Linked DNA regions of Pelodiscus sinensis. The protein of the gene in region 1 binds, or shares a complex with, the protein of each later gene. Links are inferred from orthologs where the notes say so. Each region holds a gene or a part of one and is shown in the gene's direction. Other genes may lie near its edges. The genes, in order: GTF2E2, POLR2B, GTF2E1 and GTF2H5.

Evidence for each region.
Region 2: GTF2E2 (region 1) and POLR2B share a complex: the UniProt entries of both Homo sapiens proteins name them as parts of the TBP-based Pol II pre-initiation complex. The link is inferred for Pelodiscus sinensis from reciprocal best matches to the Homo sapiens genes GTF2E2 and POLR2B.
Region 3: the proteins of GTF2E2 (region 1) and GTF2E1 are in contact, whole or in part, in a crystal structure (PDB 5GPY), measured with the Homo sapiens proteins. The link is inferred for Pelodiscus sinensis from reciprocal best matches to the Homo sapiens genes GTF2E2 and GTF2E1. Residues at the interface, in NP_002086.1 of Homo sapiens: Asp159, Gln160, Arg161, Gly162, Leu163, Gly164, Gly165, Leu167, Leu190, Val192, Asn193, Arg194, Pro195, Ile200, Phe202, Cys208, Gln209, Phe210, Ser211, Val212, Asp213, Glu215, Phe216, Gln217, Leu219, Trp220, Arg221, Val223, Thr224, Val225; in NP_005504.2 of Homo sapiens: Arg16, Lys19, Tyr20, Val21, Arg23, Gly24, Phe25, Tyr26, Ile28, Glu29, Leu32, Arg39, Leu51, Leu52, Lys53, Phe54, Asp55, Gln58, Gly68, Asp69, Lys70, Phe71, Lys73, Thr98, Asn101, Val102, Val103, Lys104, Tyr105, Lys106.
Region 4: GTF2E2 (region 1) and GTF2H5 share a complex: the UniProt entries of both Homo sapiens proteins name them as parts of the TBP-based Pol II pre-initiation complex. The link is inferred for Pelodiscus sinensis from reciprocal best matches to the Homo sapiens genes GTF2E2 and GTF2H5.

What each region holds. Positions count from the first base shown.
Region 1 is NC_134715.1:5,047,596-5,055,119, forward strand, and holds the start of GTF2E2 (transcription initiation factor IIE subunit beta), read left to right. Parts: upstream 1-4,514; 5' UTR 4,515-4,680; intron 4,681-7,524. UniProt on the Homo sapiens protein: Recruits TFIIH to the initiation complex and stimulates the RNA polymerase II C-terminal domain kinase and DNA-dependent ATPase activities of TFIIH. Both TFIIH and TFIIE are required for promoter clearance by RNA polymerase.
Region 2 is NC_134715.1:614,138-622,111, forward strand, and holds the start of POLR2B (DNA-directed RNA polymerase II subunit RPB2), read left to right. Parts: upstream 1-4,962; 5' UTR 4,963-5,105; coding exon 5,106-5,124; intron 5,125-6,804; coding exon 6,805-6,877; intron 6,878-7,521; coding exon 7,522-7,672; intron 7,673-7,974. Other genes in the region: NOA1 (nitric oxide-associated protein 1), read right to left, coding at 948-1,112, 3,493-4,735. UniProt on the Homo sapiens protein: Catalytic core component of RNA polymerase II (Pol II), a DNA-dependent RNA polymerase which synthesizes mRNA precursors and many functional non-coding RNAs using the four ribonucleoside triphosphates as substrates.
Region 3 is NC_134711.1:142,369,058-142,376,560, reverse strand, and holds the start of GTF2E1 (general transcription factor IIE subunit 1), read left to right. Parts: upstream 1-4,503; 5' UTR 4,504-4,642; intron 4,643-7,503. Other genes in the region: RABL3 (rab-like protein 3), read right to left, coding at 2,117-2,208, 4,288-4,423.
Region 4 is NC_134713.1:112,364,409-112,371,868, forward strand, and holds the start of GTF2H5 (general transcription factor IIH subunit 5), read left to right. Parts: upstream 1-4,452; 5' UTR 4,453-4,584; intron 4,585-5,532; 5' UTR 5,533-5,611; coding exon 5,612-5,646; intron 5,647-7,355; coding exon 7,356-7,460. UniProt on the Homo sapiens protein: Component of the general transcription and DNA repair factor IIH (TFIIH) core complex, which is involved in general and transcription-coupled nucleotide excision repair (NER) of damaged DNA and, when complexed to CAK, in RNA transcription by RNA polymerase II.

The sequences.
Region 1 (7,524 bases):
GAGGGAAGGAGCCAACCCTGCTGCTGTTTCTTCCATCTCTGCCACCCAACCGTCTCTGCAGCTACAGCCAATCAAGGGACCAGGGAGCTGAGGCTGCTCCTGGCAGAAGGGAATCAGAAGAGGCAGCTCTACCTGGCCTTGGGAGGTGTCCTGTTCTGTGTCCAGGACCGTGTTCAGAGCAGCTCTCAGGAAGTGCATGTCCAGGTCTGGCTCTAGGGTGGGTTTCATGGTGCTGGCAAGGGAGAGGAGCTGATATTAGACTGTGCAGTGCAGGGGTCAGACTGTATCTGACCTCGGGAGGGAGCCTCTCCCCAAGGTCTCTTTGGGTATGTCTAAACTACATCCCTTTTTTGATAAAGGGATGTAAATTAGACATATTGAAATTGTAAATGAAGCCGGAATTTGAATTTCCTGTGCTTCATTTGCATAATGGCGGCCACAACTTTTTTTTTTGAAGCCACTTTTTGAAAAAAAAAAACGTGGCTAAGACAGGGATCTTTCGACAGAAATGCCTCGTTTCGAAAGATTCTGTAACCCTCAAAAAATGAGGTTAAATAAAATGTGACAAGAAAAAAAAGACAGTATACAAAGTTTGTGGTTAACAATAGGTAGATTTACACAGTAGATAGTAATGAGGTCACTTGCTTTTCAATTGTATGTATCATGTTAGTTCTGTTTAACAAATGTAATTGATTGATTATAATTGATCTTGGCTTTCACAACATCCTCTGCCAAGGAGTTCCACAGGTTGACTGAGTGTTCTGTGAAGAAGTACTTCCTTTTATTCGTTTTATTTTTAGAAACTTATTTTAGTGGCATGAGAATGAGGACTGACACTGAAAAAAGAGTCAGAAAAAGAAGTGCTCGGAAAGCTGAAATGAGTGTATTTCACTTTATAGTATTAAATAGTAAGCAGCATATTTTTAAAAACATAATCACGTTTTATCAGAGTGCAACCTCACTACAGTATCCTACTTTTGTTTTAAATAAAAGTATTTAAGTTTGTAGTTTAGCAATGTGACAATAAATGGAATTCTAAAGGAAACTAAATGTATTTCTAACTCAAATTGGTGATAGACATATAAAAGAGGGTGAAAACTGTTGTAGGAAGGAACAACAGTGATGCTATCTGACCTCTTTTCTTTGTAGATCAGTAAAACAGTTTTAAAATATGCCATACTGGTCCCAGCATTATGGATAAGGAATATCATCTTGGAAAAGTATTACACGGTGTAATAAAAGTTATTTTGGGAGTGAAGATTCTTTAGAAACCATGCTCTACTAGCTATGCCAAAACTTTTTTTGTATGGGGCTATCTCAGGTGATTGGATCTCTGCTGTATACAACTGCTCCAAACTGAAACTTGATGTACAAGATCTTATCTTCCCCTATTGAATGCAAGGACAGTCAGATTTCTTTTTAAACAAAACTTCCTTTCATACATTAATAACATTTTAGCTTCTTAAAACAGGGAATTTTAAAATATTGAAAAGATTTTACAGTATTTGTATTGTTTACTTTTTGCACTTCACTTAGATTGGTCAATTTTTGTTTATAGTCAGGTTCACTTAAACATAAGAATGGCCATGCTGGGTCAGAACAAAGGTCCATCTAGCCCAGAATTCTATCTTCCGATAGTGGCCAATGCCAGGTGCCCTAACGGGAATGAAAAGAACAGTTAATCATCAATTGATCCAATCCTAGGAATGCGTCTACACAACAACGCTGTTTCGGAATAATGGACGTTATTCCGAAATAACTTTGCGAGCGTCTACACAATTCTGTTATTTTGCAATATCAAAATGACGGGCGGCTTATTCTGGATTCTGTAAACCTCATTCCACAAGGAGTAATGCCTCTTTTGAAATAATTTTTTTTGGAATAGCAGTAGTGTGAACACTCCACTGCTGCTATTTCAAAATAGCTCCTCCCCCAGGCCCATTCAAAGTAATTACTCCCTAGTGCTTCCTGGGGCTCTACATTGAGGTAGTACATCCAGATTAGGGGAGCCTGCCCGAGACTAATTTTGAGGCTTCCCTGTAGTGTACATGCACAATCTCGAAATAAGCTATTTCAGAGTATTTCTTCCAAAATAGCTTATTCCAAAATAAGTGTGCCGTGTTGATGTAGCCTGTTTGCCCAGTCTCAGTTCCTAACAGAGGCTAGAGACACCATTCCTACCCATCTTGGCTAATAGCCATTGGTGGACCTATCTTCCATGAATTCATCTAGCTCTTTTTTGAACCCTGTTACAGATCTTGTACTTCACAACATCCTCTGCCAAGGAGTTCCACAGGATGATTGTGTGTTTTGTGAAGTACTTCCTTATGTTTGTTTTAACTTGCTACCTATTAAGAACTTTCTTCTTCCCCTGCATAAGCACAATATTTCAGCCTTTAGCTTTCACACATTACCAGAGGATGTTTAAATAAAAACAGGGAGTTAGTATTTTGGTTCTGAGTAAATGTAGACCATTTTCTTAAAGTATTACCGGTAAGACTTTTTGTAATAGAGGCTCCAGTAGTGAGTGATTCCATAAGTCAGGTTGAGTTGCACTTAGCATTTAAAGCAACTTCTCGTTATGCATAAAAAGTACAACATATTCTCCCCAAACTCACTACACTTAATATCTGAGTTTTTAGTGAATTTTCTAAGAATGTGCAAGTAAATTTTCTAATTAGAGTTAAAATTGTGCATTAAAATATTCCACATTTTACCAGTCTTCACTGTGACTTAAATTATGTTAATCATGGAATATAATATAGATTCTTCAAATTTTCCATATAGTTACAATTATAAAATATAGGAACATGAACTTTTGAATGAATCGATCAATTGTTATTAGTGGCCAGATTCACCAGTACAGTTCAGCTGCTTTTGGATGCTCAGCTGAATTGATTAATCTGTTCTTAAAACTAAAATATATGGGTTGACCCACTCTAGTCTGGCACTGTCTGGTCTGACAACATCCACAATCTGGCCTGATTTTTGTTATATGGATGGGTTATATGGATGGGCATAACCAAGTTTCCCACTGTCCCATAAAGTTTGTTTACAGTCACCAGCCTTGGCTGTCAGTGTTCTGTGCTGTTTAGTTCTAATTTATCCCTAAATGTCTTCTAAAACCCCAATAAACAGTGGGGCTACGTCTACACTGGCACCCTTTTCCAGAAATGCTTAAAACGGAACAGTTTTCCGTTATAAGTATTACCGGAAAAAGTGCGTCTACATTGGCAGGATGCTTTTCCAGAAAAGCACTTTTTCCGGAAAAGCGTCCGTGGCCAATGTAGACGCACTTTTCCGGAAAAAAGCCCCGATCGTCATTTTCGCAATCGAGGCTTTTTGCGGAAAAGACTACTGTGCTGTCTACACTGGCCCTTTTCTGGAACAGTTTTTCCAGAAAAGGACTTTTGCCCGAATGGGAGCAGCATAGTTTTTCCGGAAAAGCACTGACAATTTTACAGTAGATCGTCATTGCTTTTCCGGAAAAGCAAACGGCCAGTGCAGACAGCTTTCAAGTTATTCTGGAAAAGCGGCTGCTTTTCTGGAATAAGTGGCCCAGTGTAGACACAGCCTGGAAGTGTTGGTCATGCTGCTAGACAATACTGACCTTCTATCAGATCCTAAGGGTGCTGGACTAGAGCCACTCAACCCGTATTAAGATTACCTTTACTTATCCTCAAATCATTGGAAATATTGTTAGTGCTTTCAATGGGCTGCTTGTTTCGTACTTATATAGGAACATTTAAAACAAAACAAAAATCCAGACCATACCCTTTCTCTTCTCTCTCCCCCTCCTCCCCCCAAACAAATACTTTCTACATGTTTTCAAGTATCAGAGGGGTAGCCGTGTTAGTCTGAATCTGCAAAAGCGGAGAGGAGTCCTGTGGCACCTTATAGACTAACTGAAGTGTTGGAGCATAAGCTTTCGTGCATCTGAGGAAGTGGGTCTTTGCCCACGAAAGCTTATGCTCCTACACTTCTGTTAGTCTATAAGGTGCCTCAGGACTCCTCGCCGCTTTCTACATGTTCTGTAAGTTTACAAAGTGCTACCAGACTATTGGTTGTTTTTTCAGTTTACCTTCTATTGTGATTGTTTTGGTCTGGGGGTTTAAATAAAAGCTCAAATGCTTGGCTCGAGCAAAGCTGCCCTTACAATGGGTCACCAGGAGGGGCGTGCAATTCAGGGCATCACAGCAACAGCTAAGACAAATTTAGGAGCTATGATGAGACTTCAGGTACAAATGGATAAGAGACTTTTAAATCCTCCCGGGGGTTACAGGCTGGCTCCCTCCCGCGCTGCATGGCCTGGGGGAGACGCTTAGGGCATTGCGGCTCCTGTGCTGCTGGTACGAGTCCCCCCTCCGCCCCCAGCCCGGCTTTGCACAATCCACACGGGGCTCCCTTGCAGCCCCTGCTCTGCCGCTCGCTACAGTTAATTGACGCGCCGCGAGCCACGTGCGGGCCGAGGGAGGGCAGCGGCTCTCACGGCGCCTGCGCAGTTCCAGTGCGCACCGCGCAGGCTCCCTGCGCCCCACGTATGGCGTTCTGAGCTGACGCTGTACCCGGCCGCTGGGCCAATAGGAGCGCAGCAGCCGCCGAAGCCAGCGTCGTCCCCCCCTCCTCCTGCTCCCCCGTGCCCCCCGCCCGCCTTCCCGCGTCGGGCGGCCTCGCGCGCCGGTGAGTTCTCGGGCGCGAGCGGGGCGGTTGGAGCGGGGCAGCCTGGGAGCGCGAGGGCGCCCCCCTCCCACCCCGAGCTGCGTAGGCGGATGGGTCCCGTGTCTGCCCCTCCCCCCCCGAGCTGCGTGAGCCGGGGGGGGGTCCCGAGTCTGCCCCCCTCGAGCTGCGTGAGCCGGGGGGGGGTCCCGTGTCTGCCCCTCCCCCACGAGCTGCGTGAGCCGGGGGGGGGGGGGTCCCGTGTCTGCCCCTCCCCCACGAGCTGCGTGAGCCGGGGGGGGGGGTCCCGTGTCTGCCCCTCCCCCACGAGCTGCGTGAGCCGGGGGGGGTCCCGTGTCTGCCCCTCCCCCCCGAGCTGTGTGAGCCGGGGGGGGGTCCCGAGTCTGCCCCTCCCCCACGAGCTGCGTGAGCCGGGGGGGGGTCCCGTGTCTGCCCCTCCCCCACGAGCTGCGTGAGCCGGGGGGGGGGGGGTCCCGTGTCTGCCCCTCCCCCACGAGCTGCGTGAGCCGGGGGGGGTCCCGTGTCTGCCCCTCCCCCCCGAGCTGTGTGAGCCGGGGGGGGTCCCGAGTCTGCCCCCCTCGAGCTGCGTGAGCCGGGGGGGGTCCCGAGTCTGCCCCCCTCGAGCTGCGTGAGCCGGGGGGGGGTCCCGTGTCTGCCCCCCTCGAGCTGCGTGAGCCGGGGGGGGGGTCCCGTGTCTGCCCCCCTCGAGCTGCGTGAGCCGGGGGGGGGGTCCCGTGTCTGCCCCCCTCGAGCTGCGTGGGCCAGGTGTCCTGCTTTCTAACCCCCCCATTGCATTGGTTGGGGGGTTCCCTCCCCCACCAGCGCTGCACTCCATGGCTCGGGAGAGTCTCTCTCTTGCCACCGAGCAGCAGGGGGGTCCCTGCCTTCTCACCTGCCCCTACACAGCTGCGGGGGCCACAGGGGGTCCCTCCTTTCCCCCTCTTGCACAGAGGCGACTAGGCCCGCCAAGAGCTTCCTTGCACCACCCCCGCTGCCCCCAGCTGCATATTCCCAAGGAGAGCCCTTCCTTCCCCTCCTCCCCCAAGGGTTGCAGGGCCCAAGGAGAGCCCTTCCTTCCCCTCCTCCCCCAAGAGTTGCAGGGGCCCAAGGGGATCCCCCTTTCGCCACTCACTCACAGTCAGAATTAGTTACATTGAGTCAAGCTGTTGTGCAGAACTGGCCCCAGGGATGCTGTAGTCCTGTCTCGACAGCTCTAATAGAAAACAACAGCAGGGCTCATGGGTTTGCTACTTATTGCCAAGTGTCACTCAAACCAGAGGAGCTAGAATAATTTTTATAATGTGGGTGCTGAGAACCATTGACTTTAACTGTAAGTCCTGTGTAGATATAATGGAAACCACTTCCGTACCCTCTACTTCCAACATCTGATTCGATCATCATGTTCCTATCCGAGTCTCTCACCAAGTCCATGGCTTCTTCCTGTAGTGGTGGCTTGCTCAAGTGTTGTGACAGTAGACAAGTGATTAAACTGATGGTGTCCTGTGTAATTATCCATGAGCACTAGCAAGGGGGAAGCACAGAGTGTAGGGAGTCCCCTATCTATCCTTGGTAACCTATAGCATAAGGTAACGAGGTGCTATTCCATACCATTGACATCTTGAGTCCTATAGGGGTCTTGGTTATTTAGACTGGGACTTGGGCGTCTAGTAACATTTTCCAGTTGTATGGGACCATGGGAAACATGGCCACACTCATGATGAGTGGACATCGAGCTAACTAAAATCATACCAGACCAGAGAGTACTAGAATAGGTTCAAGCTGTACACATTTCAGGAAGGCCAGGGAACCTTCCTCTCCCCACCCTCCAATCCAGTCACGCACACACCTAGGTGTGCAGAGGAAGGGAGGTGGGTGTGCATCTCTCCCTCCAAAGTCTATGCATCCGCAGTTTATAGATAGCAAGTTGCTAATATAGTTGTAAAATATCCTTTGTCTTTTGTAAAGGTCCTAGAATGGGGCAGTGGCACATGAACTATACTTGTCTTTGTTGTAAGATATTTTCTACTGTTTGTTTATTCATATTCCCATAATGCTTAGCAGCCCTAATCATTGAGCAGAAGCCTATTGTGCTAGATGCTGTACAAATAGAAGAAAAAACAGTCGGTACCCCCAAAGAGCTTCCTTTCCAACCTTACTAACAATTTAAATAATCAAGCAGAAACCTGGATGTAATTCAGTTTTCGTTGTCCATTTGTACTTTTAGTTATTTTCCCAAAGAAAAGTTGATTTTCCGTTTACACTAGATGTGGTGCTGCTTATTGCTAACTAGGGGTATATGGTGTAGCTATTTACATTTAAGCACTTATATAGCTTGATTTACATTTAGTTCACATTTTTAGTTTTTACATTTTGATTGTTAGAAAATCATGAATGATACATTTATTGTTTTACAAGATGATTATTTTTTTATTATTTGTGCCAAGCTCTATTGGCAAGGAAATTCACATTTAAATTAAAGTGCATTAAGTGGAAATAGCATTTTAAATTGTCCGAAGTGCTGAATTCATAAAAAATTAAATTTTCTCAACATGTTTTGTATTTAAAAGTAACTAATATATTAAAGGAAGTTGTCTGTAGTTTATGCATTGACTTGTGATCAGTTCTGGTCACCATGTCCTTGTAGAACCAGTACATCCCATCCTCTCACACTTTGCTTTCCTTTTTCAGTCTATAAATAAAAACTAGCTTTTATTCAGCTTCAATTCCCATTTGATTTATTAACATTGAATAGACTAGTAATTGAACTGAACTAGTTGAATAAATTGACATAAAGATAGATTTTTTTTTTTGCGCCTGTATCAAAGACTATTACTGTCAAAATCTGGT
Region 2 (7,974 bases), about 4.4 Mb from region 1:
CCGTTTAACTGCCTATTTAATTTAATTGTGCAAGTGCTCATTTGAGGTGTGGATGCTCCCCGGGTTTTTGCTCAAAAACCTTGTAGTGTGGACGTAGCCTTAGTGTATTACAGTAACCCAAAGGACCCCAATTGTGTTCCCATTGTTATAGTCATCACCGAAAACACCAACCTTCACCTTTCAAACACTTATGCATGTGGTTAATTCTATTTGTGGGAGTACTGATTCGGATGGAATTGCTTGAATAAATGTAGGATAAGGTCCTTGGTTTGCAGCAATTACAGTCTGTGCAAGAAAGTATTGCCTGCAAAGCTTACAAACTACACAAAGCTCTAGCTCAGTGTTTCTTAAACTGTTCCGTGGCACACCAGTGTGCTGCAAGGTAGTCGGAGGTGTGCCGTGGAGAAAAACAGAATTCAAAATGGCCACCCTTAAAGGGGCAGGTGACTTTTTTTAGGCTCAATAACTTTCCCCGATCCTTCCCCCCCCCAATAACTCCCCCCTCGATTTTTTTTGGGGGGGGGGGGGGGTTCTTCGGTCTTAAAAAGTTTAAGAAACACTGTTCTAGCTGCTTGCTTGCCTGCCTTTAATCGGTTAGCGGTTACTCAATTAAACGGGATTCTGCATCCCTAGTTCATTCCCTCTGGGGCACCTGGCATCAGCCACTGTCGGAAGACAAGATGCTTGGCTAGACAGACCTTTGGTCTGATCTAGTATGGCAGTTCTTATCTTTAATGAATTCTTATTCTGATATATTGTTACACTATCGCATACACTAATAACCCAAATCTGAATTGTATCACAAATGCATGCTGGCTAGCAATTTTTACTAATCAAGAGTGCACTTTAGATACTAACATACCATACAATAAAGTTTAATTGAATCTTTAATGCAGTATCACCATTTGCTCTTAAGATTTAAATATTCTCTCTCAGATAACACTCACCTATTAAATAACCTTGCTTTTTAAGGCATTTAAGATATTTTTGTTCATCACCACTAAGTTGTTCTTCAGTTTTTTCTGCATCTGCTTTTAATCTTTCCTGTCTTCTGAACAGCCTGTCAGGTGTAGGATTAATAATTGGAAATTTCAGGAGATTTAAGGTTGTGCCTGAAAAATAAATGCCAACGTTATCCAGGTCTATGATTGCGCAAATTAAATATAGTATATAAAAGCAATTAAATGTTAAGGTGCAAACAGTGAAAAAAGCCACATACAGAACAAATTTCACTGGCTTTATGATGGCCTCATTCTTCTTTATGAAACAGAAAAACAATTACACAATAACAAAACTAAAGACAACTGCTAAGTTAAAGACTCTTCTCAGAAATTACTGTCCACAGTGGCTAGGACAACACTATGATGTTGGACAACAGTTGTTAGCAGTTGTGTTAGCTTCTAGGAAGCCAATGTGCTGAGCATGATACGAATGGGTTGCACCTATACACACATCCTTTTGCAAAGAAACATTACTTGTGGTACAACTGCATGAAAACTAGCAAAATTCTTCACAATTAAGACCTAATCCATTTTGCCATTATCATGATTCTTATTTATGGCAATTAATTTACTGAAAAATAAACGATAAAAGCCAGACATGAAAACTATCTTTAAAAACTATTGCAAGTAAACAGAACTTTTATAAGAGCAAAACCTGGTGTTTCTTTCAATTTGCCTTTAAAAGTGATGCGCAGAGAAAATAGGACTGTGGTCATTTAGATTTGATTTTTTTTAACTTTATAAATTAATATCTTGTTTGTAGCTTTTTCCCCCCGGAAGACACCATGGCCTTTTTGAGACTAGGAAGGAAGATATTTTTTAAAAATGTGTTAGCTAACACTAATGCATTTTACAATCTTAGTACAGTGAATGAAATTGTATCATTTATAATTTTCAGACAGGTTGCCATGTTAGTCTGTTTCAGCAAAAACAATGAAGAGTCTTTAAGGTGCCACAGGGGACACACATTTATTTGGGCATAAGAGCTTTTATGTGCTGCAGTCCTCTTCATCCGGTGCATGAAGTGGAAACTACAATTAGGTGGGGAGATATACACAGATGCAATCTTGTTATAATCTATAACGTTTTAGCTAACCAAGGTCAAGATTATGGGGGAATGGAGTGTCAGTATGAGTGTCAAGAACTGTTACTTTGGGGCACCTACTATCTCAACAGGATGCTACTAACACCATTGCTAGGTCACTTTCCACACAAGTGCCAGACTCACTGAATAATGCCACTAAAAACTAGAGAGCCCTGTTTCAATTAATATTCTTCACTATTGAACGAGACTGGTAAATATTTTCCCCAGAGATTTTGAAGCGCGTTTGGCCAAATAATAGGACCTGGAATTTATGGGTTATGTTTTGAGAAACGGACATAATCCTGACATGGGACTTGCTATAGTCAGTCCTGGCCAGTGCCAAAAAGAGCCCCATTAGACTGAAGGACCGGGAAGAGGATTAACATCTGATATTAAAATACATCACACCAGTACTCTGCTCTCTGCAGGTCACTTTGCAGTTTAGTTCTGTCCTGCTGTCTGACTGCTTAGCCTTTTCCAATACTGATGCTGCCTGAATTTTTGATATTGGTAGAACGGGCAGCAGCGAGAATGAGACACCCATGCTGAAAGCAGAGAGGAGCTAATGTTTGGTTCTTCAATTTGTCAAGCAAACCTCTGAAAATGTAAAAGTTCTGCACTGGGACTGGACTACAACTAGGAGATGTGCTACTGCTTGAAGCCTGACAGATAATTCTCCTCCGTGAAATACACAGCTCTGAGCATCACCATAACATACCAATGTTGGAAATCAAATATAAGTGTTCAAATGGCAGATTTACTACCCACTTCTCAAACTAACCCCCAATCTTATCTCACAATCACAGCTCTTCTAAGCTGCCCCAAATTATTCCTTTCTATTAAATACAGCTACATCTAACCCTTAGACTGCATGCAGATGATTCCCATTGGCTAAGGCCAGCTTCACTAGGCTGAGTCAAGTTACGAGTTTTCAGAAGGTTTGAATCGTGCTGAATTTGAAGTTCTGGAAAGGCATGAGCTACCACCAGACAACCTTATCTCTGTGCTAACAAAGGTTTTTGCCATTTCACATAGCTAAAGCCTTTATCATAATGCCTATGCACGAGACCAACTTAAGGTAGCACAGGGCAAGCTTACCGCTTGCATTTGTTAGCTACTGAGTGCTTGATTTTGCAACCTTAAAAGTTCTTTTGCCAACTTTTTTTGGGGGAATGTTATTATATACATCACTACAAGATTTGCCCCACGTTACTCAGGTGCTTAACTCAAATATATCTGAAAGTCTCTCAAATATATAGTAGATAACACCCAAGAGTCTGCAGTCAAGAACAGGCCCCTATATAAAAGCCAGTTCTTACCCCAAAAAGAACTTGAGTTTTTTTAAATTCTTACCCCCAAAAAGCTTAAACGGATAATGACAGAAGTCCCCATCCATGCCCCTCTCACCTGGCCAGGGCGAGATTGTTGCTCGGTTGATCACCTCTGGGGCTTTGGACTTGCAGTAGTCAGACTGCAGCAGAGTATTGAACAGTGTGGATTTGCCAGAGTTGGTAGTGCCTATGAGATACACATCGCCATTGCACTTCCAGGAGCGCTGCAGCTTGGAGATCAGCTCCTCCACGCCATAGCCTGTCTTGGCACTGATGAGGTGCACATCCACCAAGTTGTGGCGCCCAGTCCTGTCAGCCTGGTCCCCAATGCCCTTGGCTGCAGGGAGGATGCCCAGGCGGGCACAGCTCTTCAGCAACAACTTTCGGAAGCGCTTCAGATAGTCTGGAGAGTCCCCAGGCAACAGGTCCACCTTGTTGCCCACCACCAGGATGTTTGACCCTGCACTCACCAGCTCAGGGAGGTCTGGCAGCACGGAGTCCGGTAGGTCCAGCATATCAACCATATACAACACCAGGGGGGACCGACCATGCCGGGGGGGGCTGCGCAGAGCCGCGCTAACCAGGCTGCGGTATTGCTCCCGGGTCACCTGCATGTGCTGTGCCTGCTGGTGATGGACCAGGAGCCAGCAACGTTGACACACCACCCCCTGCAGGGCCCGGTGTACCTCCGAGTCCCCCAGGGCCCCCAGTCCGTCTGAGCCCCCTGGGGTTCCCTGTGCCCCCAATTCCACCGAGCCCCCCAAAGCCTCCTGGGTCCCCAAACCTTCCAAGCCCACCAGGGGCCCCAAATCCTTCGACCAGCTTGGGGCATCTTGTGTATCCGATTCCTCCAGGCTCCTTGGCCCCCCTAAACTTTCCAAGCCCCCCCGCGGCCCCAGCTCCGCCGAGCGCCCCGGGCCCCCCCGCGGCCCCAGCTCCCCCGGGCCCCCCCGCCTGCCGGGGCTCAGGAGGCCGCGGTACTTGTCGCTGGGCAGGAAGCCGGGCGCGGCGGGGTCCCGGCACTGCAGCTCCGCCCCGCAGCCCGAGCAGCTCACCCCGCTGGGGGGCACCGAGGGGTCCGGCCGCCCCGGCGCCCGGTGCTGGCGCTTGGGCCGCGGGCCGCGGTCCGGGCGCGGGGGGGCGGGCGGCGCGGGGCCCGGCTCGGGCACGTACTCGGGGAAGACGAACGGCTCCTCCTCGCCGCGCGGCTCCCGCAGGGCGGCCAGGGCCCGGCGCCCCGGACACAGCGCGGCGGGGGGGCGCGGGGGGGCCCGAGGCCGGGCCAGGGCCCCCAGCAGCGCGCGGCTCAGCCGGAGCATGGGGGGCGCGCGGCGGCTCCGCTTCCGCTTCCGCTTCCGGCCACGCGCGGGGACAGCGAGAAGAGCGCCCCCTGCCGGGCAGTGGGTGCGCTAGGCTCCTCCCCTCCCCACTGCGTCCGATTGGCCCGCGCCACCCACGCGCTCCGGGAGGGGCGGCGCACGCGCGTTGGCCGCACGCCCCGCTAGGAACTAGTCGCGCGGTGGCTGTTTCCGGCGGAGCATAGTGCGGAGACGCCAGCCGGGAGCCGCACGCAGCCGCAGTCCGCGCCGGGTCTCCTGCGCGTGCGTGTTGGCGCTCCCCGAGTCCCTCCATCGCGGCGGCGGGTCCGAGTCCGTGGCAGCCGCTGAGGCCCCCCCCCGCACCGCCAAGATGTACGACGCGGACGAAGGTGAGCGCGGGGGTCCGGGCCCTGCTCCGTCTCCCCGGGAGCCCCGCGCGCTCAGCCAGGCGGGTGCGCGCGCAGGCCCCGGCCCGTGCCCGCGGCGTGTGCCCCCCGCGGGGAGCCCTGCGCAGCCTGGCGCCGAAAGGGATGGACCCGCCCGGCACTTGCATCACGTGCCCCGGCAGGGCCTGTGCGTGTCAGTCCCTCTGCCCCCGGAGCAGGCCCCGCCCAACGCCTCGGACCCCAGCCCGCGCGCTTTAGTGCTCTGCCCCAGGCACCTCCTGTGCGGGTTTACAGGCCCTTCGCAGCCACAGCCAGGGGTGTTAGAATGGGGGCAATGGACGAGTCAGGTAGTGGGTGGAATGTCCATCGCTAGTCAATAGGCACTTCTGCATTCCTCCTTTGAGATGTACAACAGGGGTTAGCCGGGGAGTCCCCGCTGACCCCGGGCTCCAAGGCTGCCTCTTTGAAACACGCGGCGGTGGCGTTTCAAAGGGGCAGCCCTAGAACCCAGATTCCCCAGCTGATCCTGGGCTCTTCATGGCATTTCCCCAGAACCCAGGGTCAGTTGGGGAGTTCCCAGCTGACCCCGGGCTCCACTGAAATGCTGCGGGGAGCTTTGGCGTTTCAAAGCATCAGCAGCACACAGCTGATCCCCGGCTCAACTGTGCAGCGCTGCCGCTTTGAACTACCCCATCCTCCTTCCTTTTGCTGCCTCTCATAAAGACAGCAAGGGGGAGTGGAAATCGACTAGTCTACTGATTATCTGGTAAGCAAATGCTTATTGGCTAGTCGACTAGTCCTTAACATCCCTAGCCCCAGCCAGGATCTCTCCCCTCCAGGGACAATCCCCAGCAACCCTAAAAGCAGCCTGTTAGATCCAGGCCCCAGCATGCTCTCAGTAACAGGCTGTAGCTACAACACAACAGCTCCTGGTCTGGAAAAGGCTCTACACCAGCACAGCCTGGCTCCTCCCTCCAAAATGGAGCTTACTAGCTCTCTTCGTCCATGCCTGGAAGAGCCACCGTTCCTTCCTTCTTCCCAAGGGGACTGCACGGGTAATTGGACAGGCATGTGACTGTTCTAATTTCAGCCACTACATGACTATTCCATAGTCCCTGGGGGCAGGGCCAGCAGCCAGTGTGCTCCCCCCTACTCCTGGCCCCATTCCTATGGAGCCCCCTGCTACCCCACACTGCTACCTCTGAAGCCCCAGATATCAATGAACACAAATGTTCCCCCTAATCTTTTCCATGCATGTGCTGATTTTTCCATCCATATGTGGAATAAACTTTTTATGTGCCCTGAGGCATGTGCCAAAGTGCACCTAGCTGTGGATCCTCTCCTAAGCATCTGGGCCACATTTGAATTTCTAAAACCAACTGCACAAGTGCACAGCTTACACTTAAGCCTTACAGGAAACATTGACCAACATTCCATGGTGCTAAGAGCTGAGCAAATACAGAAAAAAACATGGTCCCTGCCCTAAAGATCTTACAGTCTAACTATTACAGGAAAGCTATGAACAGAGCCTATTGTTAGTCCTCTTACAGGTTTTATTAAGCTCATTAGATTGTAGAAAAGCAAGGTATTTATGTACAGCTGTTGGGTAGTTAGAAGCTATATTCAGCCAAAAAATCTTGAATGAATAGAAAGACTGACCTGAGTGTCCTACTTTCTTGGCAGATATGCAATATGATGAAGATGATGATGAAATCACTCCAGATCTATGGCAAGAAGCATGCTGGATAGTTATTAGGTAACATTAATATTTTTAGAAAGTTTGATAGTAGTGAAGTAAACAGGAAAGTGCACCCTTAGCTTAAAAAAGGATCTAATATTTAATGTGATGAAAGTTCCAAGATTTCATATCCAAAATCATAAATGTTTTCTCTTTAAGAATGAAAGAACTGTTACAAAGAGAGAGTATGAGATTTTAGACCACTGGTCCTATGTATAATTAGCCAAAGATGAATGGTTTTGAAAAGTCAGAGCCCTCCTAGACAATCTGAAAGGTTTTTCTTGTAAATTCAGCACTAACACAATATTTTCTGTTACTGCTTGTGAGTGTAGAGCTACACTATGAGATTACTGCTAAGAAATGCAAAATAGTGAATTGGCAAGTAAAAGTCCCGAACACACAATGTCTTGTATGTGGGTCATCAGGGAACAAAGTTGAGAGATCGGGACATAAATATTTGGCTGTTTTTGAAAGTTTCTTTGGAACAATTGTATTTCAACAGTGTGCTGTGAGACAAAAACAAGAACAATTACATAGAGCAATAATGTGTTTTGATTAATTATAGTATGTTTATCTTGAATTTTAAAACCTCTTGATTACATATTCATAAACTATGTTAACTGAGAATTTTTGTTAATTAATGTTCCTGATTTTTTTCTAAGCTCCTATTTTGATGAGAAGGGCTTGGTCCGACAACAGCTGGATTCTTTTGATGAGTTCATTCAGATGTCTGTGCAGAGAATTGTAGAAGATGCACCACCTATTGATTTACAAGCTGAAGCTCAGCATGCTACAGGGGAAGTTGAAGAGCCGGTATGAGTTTCATTCTTTTAATTGTACTGATGTGAAAATTGTGCTGGGGACTCTCATCACAGTTGAACAACTGAAGGCTGCCGCAGCAGATCCAATTAGTGCGTGATATAGCTAAAAAGGAATGCATATGCTACCAGCAAGGGAATGAATGGATCACTAAATAAAGCAATGGCAAAAATAGTTTGTCTGTAACACACTTTATCCAGGGTGAGAAACACAAAAATGTTCAGCACTCATAAGTGGGGTCAGATATTCAAAAGGGCTCAGCTCCCATTGTTCTCATTTGGCACATTACCAAATTT
Region 3 (7,503 bases), on another chromosome or scaffold:
GGCATGCCTGCTTTGAAATGCACAAGAGTCCCCAGAAGGGGCTCTTGTGCATTTCAAAGCCATGCAGCCCAGAGTCAGTGGGGGACTCAGTCCCATGCTGACCCAGGCTCCATGCTACGCTGCATGCCACTAGGAGCCCGGGGTCAGCTGAAGAATCCCCAGCTGACCTCAGGTTCCGCAGGGCACTTCCCTGGAATCTGGGGTCAGCCGGGTTGTGAGGATATGTCCCTGACCAGGGCTGACCCTGGCCTCGAGTGCTGCCCCTTTAAAATGCCACCTCTGTGTGATTCAAAGGGACAGCCCGCCACACAGCTGATCCACGTATCAGCTGTGCAGCAGCCACCTTAGGGTTTCAAAGCTGTGCGGCGCTGCCACTTTGAAGGACTCCCCCACCCTTTGCTGCCTCTCTCTCATAGAGGCAGCAAGGGGGTGGGGGGAATATCAACTAGTCAAAAGGCTATCCGATAAGCAAATGCTTATCGGATAGTCCACTAGTCCTTAACATCCCTACCCCCAGTGCAGAGAGACACATGGAGCAACCAGCCACTTTGAGAGGCCTGTGGCTGCAGCAGGCAGGGAGCCTGTCTGAGTCTGCAGTGAGGCTTCCAAAGGCTTTGTGGTCCAGTTCTTGCCCACCTCTGATCTAAAGTCTCACTGCAGTGCTGAAGAGCGCACTGCTGTTTCAGCATATGAAAAGATGAGGTTCTGATCTCCTGTGATCATTAAAGGACATATGGTAATAGTTGCAAGATTAAGATTAGCATTGGCGTCCTGGCAAAAATCCAGATTTAATTATTATCTTCAGCCTCTTTAAAATCTCCCTGAAGTTTCAACTGAATTCAGTAATCATCACTTCTCCTTCTAATGTCCAAAGTTTTGCTGTGCACTTTAAAAACAAATGCCAAATTTCTTTTAAAAAAAAAAGTTGGAAAATGTGTTTTAGTATCTTTTGGAACGAAAAATGTTTTTCAGACATTAAGATAGTATCATCACTAGCCTCAGGCAAGGCATGACACTGGAAACAATGAAATATACCCTCCCATGGCCATTGTATGTTTCTCATTATGCCATGTGGATGGTTCCTCATACATTTCTCGATTTCCCAAGCCATTAGCTTCTGCTCTCAGCAGGTGATAAGAAAGAGGCAACATTTCACCAACGATCTGCTCATTAATGATATGAGCAAAACATTCTTATGATATAAACAAATTAAATTAAATCCTTTTCTATGTTTGGCTGACTCCATAAACGTGAAATTAAGCTATATGTGGCAACTGATACCCAGGAAATTCTGAAGAATTGAATTTATTCACCCACTGATACTAAATTCACTACTCAATGAATAATAAAAATCTCTATATATAGTTCAGAGATTTGCGTGTGTCTACAAGTCCGTTTGTTCAAGAACTCCTCCTAAATGGTAACAGCTAGGACCAAATTTGGTAGGCAGGTTCCTCTCATCATAACTTAAACCAAGGTCAGGGTCTGATTGTTCCAGGAAATTTAGATGTGCCTAGAATTCAATTGTTTTCCATTATATGGAAAGGGGGGGGGGGCTGAGTGGAGGAATGCAATACTGCACTGTGACCACTGGGGGGCAGCAAGCACTGAGGACAGCTACACCAGGAAACCAGTGGCCAGCTGGGTATTGGGTTTGTCATCTTGCCAGCCATCAGCCCAGGTAAGCAGCCACCCCCCCCTTCCACAAACCCGTACTCCAAGCCCTTGTCGCCAATGCTAGACTGGCAGGAGCCCCGCTGGCACTGCTGCCGAGGCCACTGTCCAGAGCACTATCAGAGCTGTGTAGCGCAGCCCTGGCCCTTCCGTTGGTAATGAGGAAAGAGGAAACTAAAGATGACAGGTAAACCCCTTCCATTAAAAAACTGACCATGAGATCTTTTAATGTCAATACAAAATAGACTTCAGTGTAAGTATTTAAGTCATCATTTGAAAGACTCACTCATAGCACACTTAGATAGCTTGGAAGTATCTTGGGAGATCTGAACCTTTAACTCTAGAGACAACTGCCCAAACTGTCAAGAGATTAGATGGTTAATTTCTTTTAGCTTTTGAAGCACAGACACATTATTCACTACAAGTTTAGAGTTTCACCTACTCGGACGTCCACCGAGCAGCCCACAGTCCAAGACGGGTTTCCCAACACCTGGTTTTGGCACAACAGATGAACAAGTGAAGACTTTCCAACACCTGCAAAACAAACATTAACTGAAGCTGCATAGTTGGCAATGCATGATCCTTACATTTGACAGCAATACCAAAATAACATTGTGTTTAAATCTCAAGAGGGATGATAGCATAATCTTCGATCTATTTAATAAGGTGGAATAATCTTGGTAAATCAGATAAAAAGGCTCAGCAGTCAAATTCTAAATATAGTACAACTTAATATAAAACAATGTACTCGAGTAGAAATAGTATTCGTACTAAGTATAACTTAAATGGCTATGAACTGATTATCAGAGCAAAGGATAGTGTTCTAGCTGTATTGTTAGACAAAACATTTAAAACTATGATCCAGTGTGCAACAGCAGTAAAGAAAATACTAGTGAGAGGAATACCATGGGTTTCTCTACATTAGAGTGGAAGGTGAAATGTCCAATTCAGGTAGATGTTTGAGCTCGTGCACTAAAACAGCAGTATAACTGCAGGTGCACAGGCTGTGGGATCTGCTAGTTGCCTCAAATACAAGCCTGTCTGAAGCCCATCCTGCTGCCTCTACAAAAAGCCTCAGTGGCACTTCTATTTTACACGAGCTCCACCAGAATACTCACATGCTACCCAAACTAGAAATTACTCCTCCAGCTCCACTGTAGACATAGCCTACACATGAAGTAGTTTGTAAAATTAAGGCTAACTAGCATATGGGCTTTTGTCAAAAGAAATACATAAGTCTGAAGCTATTGTTTATATAAAAACATGTAAGCCACATTTGTATCACAGTATCTAGTGCACCTTATCTGAAGAAAAATATAACTGAATTGGAGAAAGTGCAGAATTAGACACCAAAAATGATAATGGATTAGCAGGTGTTAAAAAGGCAGGGATAGTGCTAACGCTGGAAGTGAAGAGTGGACAATGAGAAAGCGACATAATTGAAGTACTTAAGAATTTAAACTGGGACTTGTTCTAAAATTAAGCTTACATCTAAGAATTTACACCATGCTCATAATTCAGAATATTTCATATGTTAATATAGGCCATAGTTTAACAATCTACTTGAAGTTTCCAGACAGACCAGAGCAAGTGGACATGAATATAAGAGAAAACAGAATTTTACAAGGCCGAGACTAACAGGTGGAATGGATTTTCAGTCAAAGTGCAGAGCCAAACAATGAACACAGGTTTAAGCAAAAATTGGATGACTATGAAAAGTATAAAATTCAAAGCATCGTCCATTCGGTTTGTACTCCACAGTGGCTGCTGTACTTCCCCATCCTCCAGTTGGTCCCGTTATTTTTGCTGGCTTATGAGAGTTTCTTTTGCCTGGAAATATCTGTCCTTCTCTGACTCAACATTTTTGAGTTTTTTTGTAAGCGCCATCAAACCGGCCCAGACACCCCAATGGGCTGTGCCGTACCCCACAGGGCTGCGGGGTGTTTTGACACTAGAGTTGTGTTTCTCACAGCAGGTCCCATTTGCTACCCGGCCCCGGGGACTTAGCAGACTCAGGCTGAAGAGGAGCGGCAGGCGAGAGCGAGGGGGCTGGAGGCGGGCGAGGAAACACGAGGGCGGGCACCCACTAGGGAAGGGAAGGCCAGTGGGGTCTGCACCGTCCTGCCCAACGGTCACCCCCCGCCCCCTTTCCATTCCACACGCGCCTAGGCCCCCGTTTCTGCCGGAGCGGAGCCCTAGCGCTGGCCCGGGCTTTGCCCAAGGGCGGAACGTTCAGAGGAGCCACGCGCCAGAGCTGGGCCACAGCCTACGGGGGGGGTGGGGGGGGTGGAGGAGGGAGCCGCGTCAGAGCCGGGGCACGTGGCAGGGCCCGCGTTCCAAGACAGCAGCTTTGACTTGCACCACTGCGCAAGCTCGAGCCGGATGTCGTTAGCGACGTCGGGGGGCGGAGGGGGAGAAGGGGCGGGGATTTGCTGGGACACTCGCTCCCGTTGCAAGGCACCAGGCGGGACTGCCCCTGTGCGGAGGTGGGGTGAAGCGGGAAACCCCTCACTCACCTGAGTCCCCCAGCACCAGCACCTTGACCCTGTCTAACGCAGCCATCTTACCCTGCCTAGCAACAGTCTCCCGGCACCGCCCCCTCGGACCACTCACTCATCCCATTGGCTGTCCCCTCACTTCCGCAAGCCTCTATGTTGCCGTCTTCGCTTTTGATTGGCAAATGTGGATCGAGGCGGGGCCTAGTGAGCTCTTCAGAGAACAATTGGTGCGCCTTCCTGTCAATGCTCATCGCAGCCGGAGATTGGGGAGCGTCGCCGCCTCCTATCCCCAACTGGGTTGGACCCAACAGGCTCGCGCCGTGGCGAGGGTGGGGGTGCCTCGTGTGTGCGTCACAAAGGTGCGCTGCTGCCGGGCTGGTGTGCGACGAGCGCTGCGTATGACGCGCCGTGACGCAGTTGCCGAAAGCGCCGCCCGGAGACGGAGCCAGTCCGGAGCGGCCGGCAGGCAGGTCAGTCCCGTGCTCTGGCGCGGGGGGCGGTTGCTGGTGCTGCCGCCGCCGCCGCTTTCCGTGCGCTGCAGCCGGGGCGACTCGCAGTGAAATCTTACCCCCCGTTTCCAGGGCCAGGCAGCGGCGGTTCGCTCCCCCCCCGCCCCCCCGCCCGAAGTAAGCCACGTTCTCTGGCTGTTGCAGCCGGACCGAGGCGCGCGGGGGGAGTTAAACGGCGCCGGGGCAGCCCCGCGAGACGCGCCACGTGCGTTGTGCGAAGCCGGCCGTGCGCCCCTCGGGGCAGCGCGCTTCGGGCCAGCGTCCTCGCAACCCCGAGCGCCTCCCTTTGGGCCCCATTGATGCTCCTTCTCAGGTCCAGAGGCTGGTCCTGAGAAGCGTCTGCTGGCGGGGGACCTCTGCCTGGCATCAGGCTCCCCCACCCCCCCCCCGCCAGCTCCTGACTATTCAGCGTGAGAGACGGATCGCTTTCTTCCCTCATCTTTCTGCTTTCCTAGTCGCTGCTTACACCTTGTTCTGCTAGCCAGCTTGCTGGGTAGTTCCAGGTCCAGAACTCAGGCGTTTTGCCTTAAGAATAAAGAATATTCAAAAGGAGATTTTGGGAAAAGTAATGGGGTGCAAGGAAATACATGGTTAGGTTAGAGGAATTATAGAAGGGGGATTTAGGCAGGCTGCTATAATAGATTTGGAGATTAAGTTTAGGAAAAGCACAGCTAATACAGTGGGAGGGGGAACCATCAGAAACAACACACACAATGGCTGTGTCTAAGAGACTGGCAAGTGTTTCCGGAAAATCAGCCGCTTTTCTGGAAAAACTTGCCAGCTGTCTACTCTGGCTGCTTGAATTTCTGGAAAAGCGCTGACGATCTCATGTAAGATCGTCAGTGCTTTTCCGGAAATACTATGCTGCTCCCGTTCGGGCAAAAGTCTTTTTCCGAAAGACTTTTTGCGCAAAAGGGCCGGTGTAGACAGCACAGGACTGTTTTCCGCAAAGAAGCCCCGATCGCGAAAATGGCTTTTGCGGAAAAGCGTCCTGCCAATCTAGACGTGCTTTTCCGAAAATGCTTTCAACGGAAAACTTTTCCGTTAAAAGCATTTTTGGAAAATCATGCCAGTGTAGACGTAGCCAATAGGTGGAAGGAATGCCATAAGAGACTGAGGTGGTGAGTAAATAGGTGGTCTCATATGAGACCAAGAGGTGGTGAGTGATAGAGGCTGTCTACACTGTAAGCTTTTGCTGCAGAAAATATACTAATGAGGGGTTCATTAATATGACTCAGGTTGTCGTTAGCATATTTTCTGTCTGTTGTTTTTGTGCAAAAAGAAGCAGCATAGCTGCTTCCATTTTGCGCAAAACCCCCTTTTTGCCTCAAAAAATCCTAATGCCTCAAAAAAGGTGTAACCAATCTTGCGCAAAAAGGGGTTCTTGCACAAAAAGGAAATCTCCACACTGCTGGTTTTTGTGCAAAAACTGATCAGAAGAGCGTATGCAAATGCAGTGCAAGAAAATGCAAATCTGCACTTCATTTGCAGTGCCTCTTCTGGCAACACTCATAGGCTATGTCTACGCTGGCGGGTTCTTGTGCCAGAAATATGCAAATGAGGCTACACGGCCCCTTGCGCAAGAAAAACCCTCTTGTGTAATGCCTCTACGCTGATTATTTTCAGGAATAACAGCATTGCACAAGAGGGTTTTTCTTGAGCAAGAAGGGGCAGTGTACATGCTCCTTCTGGTGCAAGAGCCTCTTCTGCAAAAATGGCGGCTCATTAGCTATATAGATGAGGCTTGGCGATATTCCAAGCTTAGCCTCATTTGCATATTTCTGGTGCAAGAACCCACCAGTGTAGACATAGCCAGAGTGCAGATGAGACATGAGTTTGCAGCTGCTGAAAAAATGCCTACCTCGGATACCAAATGACAGGACTTACCCTCCCACCTTTCTTGGGATACTTATTCCTATCCCACTTCAACTAACTAGTTCTCTGCTTTTGCGGAAAAACTTGCCAGCTGTCTACACTGGCCGCTTGAATTTCCGCAAGAACACTGACTATCTCATGTAAGATTGTCAGTGTTCTTGCGGAAATACTGTGCTGCTTCCATTCAGGCAAAAGCCCTCTTGTGCAAATGCTTTTGCGCAAGAGGGCTAGTGTAGATAATGCAGTATTGTTTTGCACAAAAAAGCCCCGATCGCAAAAATGGCAGTTGGGGCTTTCTTGCGCAAAACTGCGTCTAGATTGGCACGGACGCTTTCCCGCAAAAAGTGCTTTTGCGGAAAACCGTCCATGCCATTCTAGACGCTCTTTTCCACAAATGCTTTTGACGGAAAAACTTTTCCGTTAAAAGCATTTGCGGAAAATCATGCCATTCTAGACATAGCCCTTATGTTTTGTAGATTCTCCCTCATATGAGTAATGGTATGGAATTAAGACTAATAATGTGCCTTTTCAGCCACCATCGTTTTCTCTTCCTTCTTTGTGTTTATCATCAATGTTCATAAACTGTCATATGCCCCCCCCTTTGTTCTTTAGCTGCACTAAATATTAAGAGCCAGATCATTCCTCATACAATAAATAAGTCAATTCCTTTAGCCTCTTGATTACTCTTGTTGATTTCCTCTGAACTGTCATATCCATCAGTTTGTCAATTTCTTTCTGAGAATGTGGTGCCCAATGCCAAATAAAACGTTCTAGGTACAGTTGCATCCAAGATATAAAGAAAATGAGTTATCTCCTTATCAGAAGTTGTGCAAGGAGAATATACTGAGCCTTTTGGCCTGTATAATGAAATCATATGAGTCTTTAGAAAGGATTCTGAGATGTATGAGAAACATATTACTAAAATAGACCCACCATCTTATTAACTT
Region 4 (7,460 bases), on another chromosome or scaffold:
TTCTATCATTCCAGTAAACAGTTACAGAGTTAATCTGTAACAGTGACGGAAAACACCGCTATTCCCCTATCCTTTGTCATTCTTTTGTCTTCAGTGACAAGAACAAGAAAGACAAGGTAGGTGAGGTAATATCTTTAATTGAATGAACTTCTGTTTGTGAAGGATAGAAGCTTTTGAGCTTCACAGATCTCTTCTACAAGCAGAAAAACAAGTGATTACTCTAGAACAGATCTGTCTCCAACCCAAAAGTTTAGTTAGCATTCTGCCTGTTTTCACCACAGGGTTTAGGGCTATTAACTACTGGAATTTAGGACAAACATGGTAGTATGATTTGACAACACTCACTTTTGCAAAATTATGTAAGGTCCTAACAAGAGAATTCCAGAATCACTAGAATGATGCAGGAAGCAAGAAGTTTTAGTCCCAGACAATTTTATAGCTATAAGCATCCTGATGTCACGAAGAGGAACAACCAGACACATTAAAATGCCATGCAAAGGGAAAAATTGATCTTATGTGCTTTTTACTTATTTAAAACATGTTAATGAAATCCAAAAGATTATTTTTATTTTTGCTTCATCCCCATTCCTCCTTCATATTATAAGATCAGGCCTTATCTAACCTTGGAGACGCTACAACAGCCCCCCCTTCCTCCCTCCCCCCCCAAAAAAAATTAGTGGAACAGCAGACAAGAGGCAACAGAGTGAAAGCTGAGCAACTGAGAGAGAAAGTGATTTTTAGTCAGGATGCTTAGGACTGGATACTTGTGTTGCCTTTATTAAGTACTATTTAATGCCAAACATCTAGTCAACATTTCAGAAAAAGAGTCTCTACTCAAAGCAACTGTAGCCAGACAGGAACCCTCCCTGTAACATCCATTTTTGCTTGTCTGGAGCATACAGGGCACACAGAGCAGAAGGCCCAGGCTGTGTGACCGTGAATGGCTGTAAACAAAGATACGCCAATTGCTGACCAAGAGGCTGCCAAGGAGTGCCCTTGACTTAACCCATATTGATACGAACACACAGCCGTCCGCGGGGGGGGGGGGGGGGGGGGAAGGAATCTCTCGCCCAGTAAAAAAAATGTCTAGTACTCACAATTTAGTTATCTCTCTTGCAAGTGTAAATTAACTTGAAACTTGCTTGTAAGAACTGGCGCCACAATACGGACCAGTACAATTTGGCCTCTTAGATAAGAAAGAGGATATGGGCCCCCAGGGATATAAAGATGGGTCCAGCAGCACATTTACTCTGAGTGTCAATCTACCATCTATCTGCTGGTCGGGTTAGGTGTTTGATCTCCCAAGGTTCTACAGGAACGCCCACCTCGTATTCGTCTTTCCTAGGAATTGAGAGACCGGCCCTGGCCTGACATGCTTAAGTGGAGAGGCACAGAAGGGGGTAAAAATTGTACCTGGATGTGGTCCTTTGTCGTAAATGTACACATAGATTTAGAGCTCTTTAAAGATTAAGCTGTCACTTAGTACCATTATTTCTATTTTCTATCTTTATTTTCTTTGTAACTATTTTTAAAATCTGTATTTGCTAACAGTTAAGAAAGAGAGCAATAGCCATTGTAACCATATGGTTTTATAAGTCTTTTTAATAAACCTGTAACTGTTTAAGTTTTTAACCTGACTCCTTCAGTTGCTGTAACAAAACCAAGCACAATTTAAAAGAACTTCAGCCAGTCATAAGGAACAGGTATAGGAAGAGCTTGGGCGTTTGGATTTGTGTCACTCCCAGGTGACAGGTCCGTTGGGGCACCTCTCAGTCTTTTCCTAAGGCTGCCCGCTGCGAAGGAATCTTGCATTCTAGCAGCTAAAATCTAAGGTGTAATAAGCTCTTTCTATAAAGGGGCATCTGTTGGCCTGCTGGCTACCCTCTGCGACGGGACCCCGGTCCTAGCAGTAAAGACACGGACATTAAACCTTTTCTCGAAAACACACACACACATACTGCCCTGACTGTCGGCTGACAGCAACTGAACATGCCTTTGTTAAAAGGTTGAGTGTAGAACAACCCGGATTTCTTTCTAGAACCATTTTACCTATCACCAAGGGCCAAAACAAGGGCACAAGCCATGTCTCCCTTTGTATTCCCCCAAACCCAGAATCCTCCCCCCCCCCCCCGTAGCTTCCTGAGCGTAGACCCCCCCAACATAAGAATGATTATACAGGGTCAGACAGATTGCCCATCTATCTCCCTTTCCTCCATCCCGACAGCAGCCAGTACCAGGTGCTTCAGAGGGAATTAACAAACAAACAGTGATCCATTTCCTGTCCTCCAATTCCAGCTTCTGGCAGTCAGAGATTTAGGGATACCCTGTGAATGGAACTGCATCCTTCTTGATAACAGCCACTGATATATCTGTTATCCATGAATTTATCGAATTCTTTTTTAACCCACTTATATTTTTGGTTTTCACAAGATCCTTAGAAAGGAATTCCACAGGTTGACTGTGCATAGTTTGAAGAAACACTTTCTTATGCTGGTTTTAAACTTGCTGCTTATTAAATCATCAGGTGACCCCTAGTTGTGTTACCCAAAGGCATAAATAAAACTTTCTTATCAAGTTTCTCCACCTCGTTCATAATTTTATATCTCCCCTTGGCTGTGTTTTTTCTAAACTGAACAGTCTCAGGTTTTTTTGTCTCTCTCCTCAGAATCTGTTCCATTGTCTTAATCATTTTTTACTCTCCTCTGTATTTTTTGCAAATTGAATATATCTTTGAGTTGGGGCAAACAGAACTGCACATAATGTTCAAGGGATGGGTGCACCATGGATTTATAAAGGGATACTGTTATATTTTGTGTTTTTTTAACTAACCTTTCCCTAATGGTTTATAACATTGTTAGTTTTTTTTTTTTTACTCTATCTACACATTGGGCAGATGTTTTCAGAAAGCTATCCATGATGACTACAAGATCTTTTTCTTGAAAAGTGAAAGCTAATTTAGACCTTAATATTTTTTATATATACAGGTAGTTTGGATTATGTTTTCCAATGTGAATAATATTGTATTTATTAACATTTAATTTCATCTGCCATTTTTGTTGCACAGTCACCCAGTTTTATGAAATGTCTTTGAGACTCTTTGATGCCTTTGAGACCCTTCACAGTCATCTTTGGACTAAATTATCTTTTGTAATTTTTTTTAATCTGCAAATTTTGCCACATCATCTTTCACTTCCTTTTCCAGATCATTGCTGAATATGAGCAGTCATAGTAGAGATATTTGGTGTGGGAAGGGCTATTGCTCTCTTTCTTCTTATCCCTTGGCTAGAACATAAGAATGGCTATAAGAACTGGGTCAGACCAAAGGTCCATCTAGCCCAGTATCCTGCCTTCCAACAGAGGTCAATGACAGATGCCCAACAGGGAGTGAACAGAACAGAGAATCATCAAGCAATCCCTCTCCTATTACCCATTACCAGCCTCTGACAGAGGCTAGGGACATGATTCCTACCCATCCTGGGTAATAGCCATTGATGGACCTAACCTCCATGAGTTTATCTAGTTCTTTCTTGAACCATGTTAAAGTCCTGGTCTTCACAACTTCCTCTGACAAGCAGTTCCACAGGCCAACCATGTGCTGTGTGAAGAAAAAACAGTTCCTATCTTTTAACTAGTTACTGTTTTCAAAAGAGAATCTACCTCATATCCCATGACTGCTTACTTTGCTTAAGAGACTTTGGTAAGATACCTTGTCAAGGTTTTAATAAAAGTCCAAGTATGCTATATCCATTGGATCATCCTGCCATCTGATACTCTCAAAGAATGCTAAGTCATTGGTAAAGTATGATACCCTTTTCCAACAGCCATGTTTACTCTCTACATACCATGTGCTTCTGTGTGTTGAATAATTACTTTTTTGTTCTAACCAGTTTGCCTGAACTTGGGCCCCAGCCTGTAACTGATAAGACCCCGCAGGAGCCCCCTGCAAAAACTTCATTTAACATCTCCACAACAGCCTTGTCTTCCTTGAGTGCTTCTATGACACCTTGATCACCCAGCCAAAGGGCTCCGCTGGGCAGGTTTCCCACTGCTGCTGCAGCGTGTTTTAGTTTGCTGTTTGTTAGTTTTACTCTTCTCTAGTTGCTCTTCAAATTCATTTTGGGTCAGACTCGTTATAAGCTGCTGCCCCCCCCCCTCCCCACACACACACACGCTGCTGCTCCCCGCATTGGACACTTACCCTGCCCCACCTGCAGCCCAGCTTCCCTTCAAGCAGCCCAGAGCCCGCACCCTATGAAGCTCCCGTGCCCCCCCCCCCCCGCCGCTACCCCAGCACAGGGGCTCCCAGAGCGTCGCTCCCCACACGTGGATGGGCCAATACCCCCCCCCCATTACCTGCCCCGCTCCCAGGCCGCTGCCTCTCTCTCCCGTCTCCCGACAGCTGTCAACTACGCCCCCGTGTGTCGTCACCACGCAAGACGGGCCTGAGCCAATCGCCGTTTAGCGCGAGGCCGGAAGGGAGCCGCGGCGCCCGCGCGTGCGCACTCTCGCTTCGGTTCTCGCCTGGGGGCTCGCGCGGTTGCTGGGCTGGGAGCCGCTCGCTGCGTCGTGAGGGGGCGGCCGCGGGTAGGTGGGGGCGCGCGAAGGGAGGGTATCGGGCCTCACGCGCTGCCGCCCCCCCCCCGGCCTTGGCGCAGCCCCATCGGCTTCACCTGCTCCCCCCCCCCCCCGCGCAGCCGCCCTGTGCCTGCCCCGATAGACCCGCAGCCGGGGGCTAGTCTGCGGGGAGCAGCAGTGTGTGTGCGGGCGGGGGGGGGGTCTGTTGGTGCGCACGAGGGGTTCCCTGGTGCTCTCCGGTGCTGGGTGTCGGGTGCTGCATTACGCTGCAGTGATTGCCCGTTGCGATATAGACACTGTAATGAGTGAGACTGTATAGTTTAGATGTGTGTGAAACGTGCGCTACGTGTTACACTATGTGCTTGAAAAGCTAAAAGAAACCGCTTTGCGGGGGTCTATATACAACTCAAACTGCTAAAATAAACCCCTACATGAAGTGAGTCTCACACACCCTTAAAAACTAGAAGCCCTGCTTATCGTGAGACTCACTTGTCTATTTCTTTGTATAACTTATTTGCATAATTTCTGTAGTTCTTCACAAGATAGAAGATTGTATTACTAATTAGTATGTTTATTTCATTACTGAAGCAAAATGCAGGACAATGTAGCACTTTAAAGACTAACAAGATGGTTTATTAGATGATAATAAACCATCTTGTTAGTCTTTAAAGTGCTACATTGTCCTGCATTTTGCTTCAGCTACCCCAGACTAACACGGCTACATTTCTATCACTATTTCATTACTGTAATGCATGAAACAGTCTCCCCTCATCTGTTAAATGTGACACACTCTTCTATAAAAGTAAGATTATCATGTAGGCTAGGATTTATGATGTAAGCTTTTGTTTATATGTTCATGTAATTTTCACTAATCTTACAGTGATTTAAAAGTATACATGCCAAATTTGAATGGCCACTTTGGTCAACAAAAAATCAGTTATTTTTTTCTCTTTTCAGTTTCTCTCTGCCTACAAGCATAATTCAAAGCAAGATCTATTTTCTGCCACATTTGGGCTTTCTAAGTGTGTTGGAGAAGATGGTTAATGTCTTGAAGGGTGTTCTTATAGAATGGTTAGTACTTCTGTCTTCAGTTGAAATTCAGCTTTTCTTAATTGTATAGTTCCTCAAACATCCTAGCCACTTCACAGAACATGTAGAAGCTTTGCTTCCTTCAGTGTCTCTCCTGTGCCTCTTGCACTGAACAGAAGTCTTAGGCAAATTCTGCTTAGACCAGTATGCAACTGTTTGCAATTTATAATCTAGATAGCCCCAAAACAGCTGGCGTGCGAGCTGCCTGAGCAGCAGGGACTGTTGCACCCCAACAACACCATCCTGAAAGGAGGGGGGAGGGCACGGGGAGTCCCAGGAAAGTGAAGCTCTGTCCCCTCGGGAGGAGTTGTCAGCACAGCATTGTCATCCTTTTAAGCCTCATAATCTCTTCCAGCTTCCTCCTGAGTTCTGCACCCTTTGCCTCCTGCCCTGACTCCTGCTCCCTCACCTCCCTACCCTGAGCCCCCCCCATCTGACTCTGTGCCCTGAGTCCACCCCTCCTGCCTTCACTCTATCACCTTCTGCCCTGAGCTGCCCTCACAAACCTTCCATGCCCACACATCTTAACCCCTACCCTTTACCAAGAGTCCCCCATATCTCTGCCCTGACTCCAGCCCAGCAACCTTATACTCCAACCCTAATGCCCCACACCAAACCCTGTGCTCTCAGCCCCCCACCTCCTGCCTTCCCGGCGGGCTGGTTCTCCCTCATTTCCCCTCCTGATTTTCCCCAGCCAGCCCCCCTGCACCGCCCTCCAGCTCTGCTTCCTGCCAGCCCGTTCCTTTTCCTGATCTCCCCCGACCAGTGCCGCTGCACCCCCCCCCCCACCAGCTCTGCTTCCCGCCCCCCCACCAGCCTCGTGGTCCCCCAGCTTTGCTTCCCGCCAACCCACGATCAGGTGTCCGGTTTTTGGGGAGGGGTGTCTACTTGGTAACCCTACCGGAACCAGCAGCAGCATCCACGTGCTAGGGGGAGGGAGGGTTGGGTGAGGTGCTGGAGGGAAGGAGAGGGACTGGTTGCGTGCTGACTGGGGCAGGGGCGGACTGGTCAGGCGGGCTTTCTGCTGAAGGGCCGGCTGGCGGCGGCCCCAGTGCTGGCCAGGGCACTCTGTGGGGCCGAGGGAGAGCCTGTGTTTATACACCGTGGAACAGTTGAGAGGGGAGAAGCCCCGGCATCTTCCCTCTCAGCTGGTTTGAGCTTTTTAATTTTTGTAATAAACACCAAAATTCCAATGATATTTTTAATAAAATCAAAACTGAAAACAAAGGACCTTGGCTTTGTTTATATAGCTAAAATCAGACAAGAACTAGAATATGTAAACCAATGATATTAAACTGTAACTGTCCATAAACTCACATTATACATGTTTTACTAAAAACATACAATAATGTTAGTCTTTAAAGTGCTACATAGTCCTGTTCTTTGTTTCATAATACCAATGTAATCATTATTCTCTGCAAGTTAGGCTACCAATTTTCTTCCTCTTGGGCCCTTCTAGCTAGTCACAGTTTAATTTGTAAAATGTCCCAACAGGGTCACTTTTGCTTAAAGGCTTTCCTAAAAGTTATTCTTGTAAAAAGATGGATGTAGGCAACAAACAAATCTTGAGATTGAGGTTATACGGGAAGAAGTTTTTAAGTTCCATCATTCCAAAATTGTTTTACTTAATACTGTGTTGCTGTATTTTGTCGCTGCCAATAATATGGATTCTGGTGCATGTTTGTCTACAGTGACCCAGCCATGAAGCAGTTCCTACTATACCTGGATGAGTCAAATGCCCTGGGAAAGAAATTCATCATACAAGACCTAGATGAAACGCATGTTTTTGTGTTGGC